Daphnia pulex: one gene and its partner. The protein of the gene in region 2 binds, or shares a complex with, the protein of the main gene of each other region. Links are inferred from orthologs where the notes say so. Each region holds a gene or a part of one and is shown on either strand. Other genes may lie near its edges. The genes, in order: actin-related protein 2/3 complex subunit 4 and probable actin-related protein 2/3 complex subunit 2.

Region 1 (3,478 bases), on a different chromosome or scaffold from region 2:
TCTCACCCAATGCTTGTAGGTTCAACAAGCCAGTACTGGCCCTGCAAAGTATGCAGGACCAATTGACTGTATTCGGCAGTTATATAAACAAGGAGGTATACGGAGTATCTATCGGGGAACAGGAGCTACACTGCTCAGAGGTAAGGTTGACTCAACTATAGTTCAAGAAGAAAATTTCTGCAACTACAGATGAACTCTCTTTCGATTTGGTAGATGTTCCAGCCAGCGGGATCTATTTTATGACCTATGAATGGCTCCAGGTTGCACTTGCACCAGAAAACTCCGACGGGAAATTAAGCCCAATTCGGACAATGTTTGCCGGTGGAATGGCAGGAATCGCCAACTGGATTATTGCCATCCCACCGGATGTACTGAAGAGTAGACTACAAACAGGTAATATTTTTTAATAGAATCAGATATTAGGCTATTAAATAAATGAGTTAAGTGAAAGGTAATATGATAACTTTATATCTTCGATTATTTTCCCACTTGAAGCTCCCGAAGGAACGTATCCTAATGGAGTGCGTGACGTCTTTAAAGTGTTGATGCGCGAAGAAGGTGTTCGAGCTCTCTATAGAGGAGCAGTTCCAGTGTTTCTTAGGTAATAGGGACATATTTAATTAAATAAGAATTTTTGATAACATTTTTTAACGTCCATTTTTCTTTAAAGAGCCTTCCCTGCAAATGCCGTTTGCTTCTTAGGATTTGAAATGGCTTTGAAGTTTTTGAACTGGTTAGCTCCTTCTATCTAATTGCGGAGCACTGATATTGTTCCAAGTAGATATTATCAAGAAATATGCACACTCCAGTTTGACTAAATACAATATAGTTTTCTGTAATATTTTCATTTATTATTTTTTGAGCTTGTGCATGAACTCAAACTAGGAGTTATCTGATTGTACACAAGTCGGATCATTTTACTGAATTAGCTTGGCTTGGAAACAGGTTTTTATGCAAATAAACTTGGGAATTATCTGGTCTCAATTTTCTTCCAGTTATCCAATAAATTCTCGAATTAAAACTATTAAAAAATGGGAAATGTTAGTCGGTAATAACTGATGAAAAAATTGACAGTAAAACACACCCGCTTTAAAAACTCCTCAGCGCACACACGGGCTCGTGCGTTGACGGCCAATTTCATTTCGCTAATTTCTTTGTCTATCTCTTCCATGAAGTGGATGACAAAATCCACTAATTTATGTTTGTACATGGCTTCAGTATGAAAATTAGTTATCAAGAAACTTATGTCATAACCCTAGAGAAATTATCAATGTATAACAACATATTTTAGAATATTTTAAAAAGAGTTTACCTTAACAACATATTTTAGAATATTTTAAAAAGAGTTTAACAACATATTTTAGAATATGTTAAAAAGAGTTTACCTCAACAGGCTTTCGTCTCAAAACAACAAAATTTTCTGCTCGCATCATCATGAACCTCATAAATTTGTGGCAAAGAATTTTTTCAATTTCATCAGCCTGTTTGATAGAAATGCTAATCCGAACAGAATTAATAGAGGCTTCTATCAAGACTTTTTCTTTCTCATTTCTTGAAATAACAACTGGATTCAGTAATAATTCCTTGCTTGTTCTATGTTTCAAAATAGTATTTATTAATGTTTACTCAATTTTTTCACTCATTTAACCTTACCTGACTTCCACTTCAGGTTTATTGTGTCTTTCAACAACTTGGGAAGAAAAGTTTTCCAAACACATTGCAGCTTCCAGTGTACTTCTAACTGCGGACAAGTAAGGCCTCAAAGTTGCTGACTAAAAATGACAAAATATTAATTATACGTGTACACATAAGACGATAGGAATGATAAAAGGAAGAGGGTGTGGTAAAGTGTTTGAAATGTGTTTTTGTCTGATGAGTTCAAAACATAATATTTTCAAAGTTCTTTTTGGATTAGCTGGGTTTGAATCACAACACAGAAGTTTAAGAGCAAACTAACCATTTTTTGCAATTTGCACAGCTGAAAAGCGTAGAATCTTAAGATAGTTCAAGAATATGTTCCACGGACACTATTTAGGCCCTACTCAATTTAGTGCTTTCTTTGGCTTTTTTCAGTGGGGTGGGCCGGATCTGTCAAAAACCGCAATTTTTTAAGATAACATGGGAACCGACGAAGAATGGAAACAGTTCAATCTGCTGCCAGTAGAGGGCCCGTATTAAATAAAGCAAAAAAATCAATCAATCAATTTCCTTTATTCAAGAAATTTACCGTGAGATCACAGATCACAAATCAAGCCGAATATAAACAAGTTTTAGTCCTTAGGGGTTTCGTAAATATCTTTGATCTAAGACTTGTTGTTAGTTTGTTATATATTACTTGTATAGGTAGAATTGAAGATAAGTCTATAACTAAACTTTTGTTTTGTGTGTTTTTTTAAGGGAGCGTTAGAAATGATATATGCAGATAGATATCCGCTACGTGCAGTCGATGCCGGTATATTTGTTTTATTTTGAGAAATAATAGGTTAACAAACATAGAATCAAAGTAACGATTGCACTAATTTGTTGACGATTGCACTAATTTGTTGCACTGATTTGTTGATGCAGCACATATCACCATATCAACTGTCCTTTTCCATTGGAGATGAAGAAGCCCGACAAATGAAAACCAACGTTTCTATTTGGTATTTATCAGCTGCCTCCAATAGAAGTAAATTAGGGGTAGAGTCGAGTATGCGGCCATTATAAATAAAGAACAAAATTTGTTCGAATATGCTTGGTGTAATGTCGCTGATGTCAACACACCCAGTATTCGCCTCGAGCATGTCGTGGGAAAACATTGCGGCAAAAACTGGGCTCCGGGCGGCCAAAATCCATCGATGGGCATGAAAGATACGCCCAGAGACGAGCAACTGAACATCGGTGGTCATGCCATCCAAAGCGGAACGCCAAAGCTGAGTTGGGCAAAGACTGTCCTGCAATTCGTATCGATATTCCTCATTATCCGCTTGTTCGATCGTCACACAGAACGTGAACTGGTAACATTTGTATCCATTTGCAACGGAGAAATTGCTTGTGAAGACCAGATTTTTATTAAGATCCATGTTGTGTTTCTTCTGTGAACAGGGATCCCATCTGTTGAAGTATGAGACACCAACCACTCGACTGTTTCGACCAGTAAAAAAGTATAGGTCGAACTCGCTACAATTTGTATATGGGATGATACGTACACACTGAATACCAACGCCGAACCACATACCGTCCTTTGATTTATTAGAGAAAGTTGTGCGATTCAAAGTTGGCAACTTTTTCAACGTCCATGAATATTGCATTACGACACCTCCTTTCGTTAATTGTGAGTTCACGTCAGCTTCACATCTAAAAATATATCAATTTATGGTTTATGAAATTTAAATGAATTAAATATAAGAATACTTCGTGACCATTTTTTCCATTGTTCCATTTGCGGTAAATTTAGGAAGCATTTCATCTACGAAGTATTTCTTTGCATACGTTTTCA
Region 2 (3,893 bases):
ATGATATGGAAGTGGATGAACTGATTGGAGCACCGGGTGAAATGACAGAAGAAATGTTACAAGAAAATTCAGAACAAACAGCACGGGAGACAGAAATGGAAGGATACCTTGACCCAGCTACATACACTGATGTTATTGCGAGAGTCAAACTACCTTCCTCTTCGTGGATGTGGCAAGAAGATAAGGTTAACAAAACCCTCGTGTGTTTCAGTCATTCATTTTCTCCAGATCGCAAAATTGTAATAAAAACAATCTCAGTTGTCTCCATGAATAAGGTGGAATTGTTCCTCAATGGAAAACAAATATTTCCCCGTAATGTTAAGACTAATTTCAATGTAATTGAAGATTTATCTAACATTATTGGTGCCGTGGAAGTAAGCAATGTGTGTGATGGAATTGTTGAACTATCACTAGCGAATGTTTGTGTGACGTCCCGATGTAGCGCTGTGAAAGACGGAAAAATCATACGATCTAACCGGTGCACAGGACTTACTGAAAACAATGTTTGTTTGAATTGCAAATTCCTTAAGAAATATCTGATGACTCGCAAGAAACAATTAGGTTGTAAGGCTGAGAGGACAGGAATTCAAAAGAAAAACCAACAGCAAAAGAGAAATTTAGCAATGAGAAGAATTCTCCAACAAGGAAAAGTAATTATTTTTTTGTTATTCATAAATTAACATACGATTACTATTAATATATTTTCTATTTGTAATTTTAGTTGGTCTCTGGAATTGTGTCAAATTTAGAAAAAGAAAAGCAGACTTTGACTATTACAAACCAAAAATTGATTAAGGAACAGAAAAAGAATAACTTTGACGAAAAACTAAAGTGCCTGAGTCCTACGGTAACAATGAAATACTAATTTAATTACCTCATGACTAGACTATATGTATGCTTCCCTATTTGACCAATGTTTTCCAATTATTTCGATAGAGATATCATTCCTTATTCCAACCCTCACATTTGTGAAATCCAACTTATTCGCAAGACTATTCAAAAATAATATTCCAGACGATTGACAATGACATTCCATACTTACTAAAGACCATATCATATATCAGTTTATTAATAGATTTTTCAAATCTCTATCAGGAACAGTTAATCGTGAAAACTATGATGGACAAAGCTAAAGCAAAACCGGGAAAAGATAACTGTAAGAAAGGAATGCGTTACGACCCTTTATTTTTGATGCATTGTCTTCAAATTCGACTTAAAAGCAGCAAGACATATAGACATTTGAAAGCAAATGGAATTTTACCACTTCCGAGTCTTGAAAGCATAAGGAAGTTATTAAGCTCCACTGACTGCCGTTAATACACATTACAAGTTATAAATTGAACCAATGAAATCTATTGTTATCATCTGAAATTAATCTTAATTAGAAAATCGTCAATCAATCTGTTTAACGGATGCGCAAAGTACGCATAGCTCTGATTTGTTTACGAGGGACTTAGAAAATTTCTGTGTTGTTTCAGTGTAAGCTTCCACCCTTCCAACACCAGGTCGCGGGGCTGTCGCAGTAACCAAAGATCACAAAAAAATCAGCTGCCTTATGGGACCTTATAACACAGACAGTGGGAACCATTATATCAACAACCATGGTCTTTGTCTATGACACCATGCTGGTGCTTGCGTACCGCACCTGCTTTGTTGAAATCTGGCAAACGGCAAGTCCACTCCCTTTTCTTTTGTGGTTGTCTTGTGAGTTGTGACAGATAACATTAACATTTCCTTGTGTGCTGACTATGTTGAAATTTGTTTAATTTTGTGATACAAGTCATCACATTCACATTTCGTCGCGATGATTCTTCTGGAAATAAATAACAAAATTGTTGAAGATACCCTTACAGTTAAAATAAAAAATTCGCTTGCCGGGTAAATAATTTATATACATTTGTTTTTGAATTGCTACGAAACATATTATTCCTAATTTGTATAGAAATAAACCGGATTCCGTAAATGTAGTCATTGCTGATTTCGATGGGGTTCTTTTTCATATTGCCAACCCTGATTCTGATAAATCCAAAGTTCGAGTAAGTTATTAGAAAGAAAACCTTATAAATGAAATGTTGCAGGATTAATTAATTGTTATTTTTATAGGTTAGCATTTCACTGAAATTCTATAAAGACCTTCAGGAACATGGTGCTGATGAGTTACTAAAAAGAGAATATGGGAACCTACTATGTCAAGCTGAAGATGGTATGTGTAATATCCTATTGGTGAAAAGGTTTTATTTATCTTCTTTGTTTATTTATCCTTTTTTTTTTTTGAAGGGTACAATATTTCCCTTGTTTTGGATTTGGATAACATACCTGGCAATTGGGAAGAAATAGTAAAAAAAATTGGACTGCTGAAAAGAAATTGCTTTGCATCTGTTTTTGAGAAGTATTTTGAATTTCAGGAAAAGGGTAAAAAAATAATGAGCAAAAGCAATACTCTGAAATTCTATAATTTTTCTTTTCTAATAAGGTGAAGAAGGGCACAAGAGAGCAGTTATCAATTATCGTGATGAAGAGACATTGTACATAGAAGCTAAGGCAGACAGAGTAACAGTAGTGTTCAGCACTGTATTCCGTGATGAGGATGATATTGTGTTAGGTAAAGTTTTCTTACAAGAACTTCGCGAAGGTCGCCGAGCTTCTCACACTGCCCCACAAGTTCTTTTTTCTCACCGAGAACCTCCTCTGGAACTTCAAAGTACAAATGCTAAAATTGGTGACAATATTGGATACATTACATTTGGTATGAAATCATTTCTATTTTTACACATGGATTTCTGTAAAATTTATGTCATAATTCTTTTTAGTCTTGTTTCCACGGCATACGAACAAAAACGTCCGCGAAAATACCATTAATTTGATTCATCTCTTCCGTGACTATTTGCACTACCACATCAAATGTAGCAAAGCCTACATTCATTCACGCATGAGAGCCAAAACTTCTGATTTTTTGAAAGTATTAAACCGAGCTCGACCTGAACCAAAAACGGTGGAAAAGAAAACGATCACCGGCCGTACTTTCATTCGTACTCCATGATGTTTAAATGCACATTTTCCCTGTTTACCTAATTAGGATTTCTTCATTGATTAAATTGTAACGCTTAGTTTCACATTTTTCAATAATACACTAGCTTCTCATTAATGACAGACCACATTTATTTCTTGTAACTGCTTACAAAAACGGTTCAATATTCAACTCCAAAGCTGAACATGGAAGATTTAAATCAAAGGATGTCACAACATCAGGATGTAAGACTCCGACGATTCCGACAACAGTGCCAGCAAAAATGATTTGGGCGCATCGTCCGGGGAAAAAAGTTGCATCTGTAAATTTTATAGCTTTAGAAGAAGGTAATCAAAATATTGATGCAGTATATGAAATGAACCTTCGCATGGTTTCAGGAAGTATCCCTTGCTGCCACTCTGATCCAGTGGAACTTCCAACAATTGCATTAAGCGATCTAGTAAACCATGAACTAATTCAAATCCAGGCGACTTATTGTAATAAACGGCGCACAGATTGCGGCAATTACGAGCTCCAACATCTCGCTGACTGTCTTTCACTACCACATCGGATACTTCAAATAGCTTGAAGAACAGAAACCATATGTTTTACAACTTTTATAACTTATCTTATTAAATAAATAGGTTTTACCTTCATGGGCAAAGGCATTTTCCTATTGGCAGCGATAGTTTTGAGCAAACCTGAAAGTAAGGTCGTGCGTGCTACTTGGAACTCCAAAGTTTTCGGATTGGAAACATGAACTGCAGGAACGGAGTTCAGAGGTTTCCTCAGCTTTTCGCTTATGTCTTCCTTCGAGCACAACGAAAATGTGAGAGCCTCTGTGAAACCGGCTTGAGCAAGCTGGTCTCTCAACTGATCTGACAGC

The links.
Region 1: probable actin-related protein 2/3 complex subunit 2 (region 2) and actin-related protein 2/3 complex subunit 4 share a complex: the UniProt entries of both Caenorhabditis elegans proteins name them as parts of the arp2/3 complex. The link is inferred for Daphnia pulex from reciprocal best matches to the Caenorhabditis elegans genes arx-4 and arx-6.

Annotation. Positions count from the first base shown.
Region 1 is NC_060028.1:5,631,828-5,635,305, reverse strand, and holds actin-related protein 2/3 complex subunit 4, read right to left. Parts: upstream 2,133-3,478; 5' UTR 1,961-2,132; coding exon 1,958-1,960; intron 1,773-1,957; coding exon 1,654-1,772; intron 1,594-1,653; coding exon 1,386-1,593; intron 1,256-1,385; coding exon 1,085-1,255; intron 1,022-1,084; coding exon 1,016-1,021; 3' UTR 830-1,015; downstream 1-829. Other genes in the region: mitochondrial carnitine/acylcarnitine carrier protein-like, read left to right, coding at 20-140, 214-393, 496-601, 671-752; uncharacterized protein LOC124209792, read right to left, coding at 2,580-3,336, 3,394-3,478. UniProt on the Caenorhabditis elegans protein: Functions as actin-binding component of the Arp2/3 complex which is involved in regulation of actin polymerization and together with an activating nucleation-promoting factor (NPF) mediates the formation of branched actin networks.
Region 2 is NC_060024.1:1,047,990-1,051,882, reverse strand, and holds probable actin-related protein 2/3 complex subunit 2, read left to right. Parts: upstream 1-1,657; 5' UTR 1,658-1,804; coding exon 1,805-1,878; intron 1,879-1,942; coding exon 1,943-2,036; intron 2,037-2,103; coding exon 2,104-2,203; intron 2,204-2,277; coding exon 2,278-2,412; intron 2,413-2,473; coding exon 2,474-2,746; intron 2,747-2,810; coding exon 2,811-3,040; 3' UTR 3,041-3,175; downstream 3,176-3,893. Other genes in the region: uncharacterized protein LOC124201224, read left to right, coding at 1-650, 722-847, 1,096-1,317; phenylalanine--tRNA ligase beta subunit-like, read right to left, coding at 3,176-3,327, 3,390-3,591, 3,659-3,893. UniProt on the Caenorhabditis elegans protein: Functions as actin-binding component of the Arp2/3 complex which is involved in regulation of actin polymerization and together with an activating nucleation-promoting factor (NPF) mediates the formation of branched actin networks.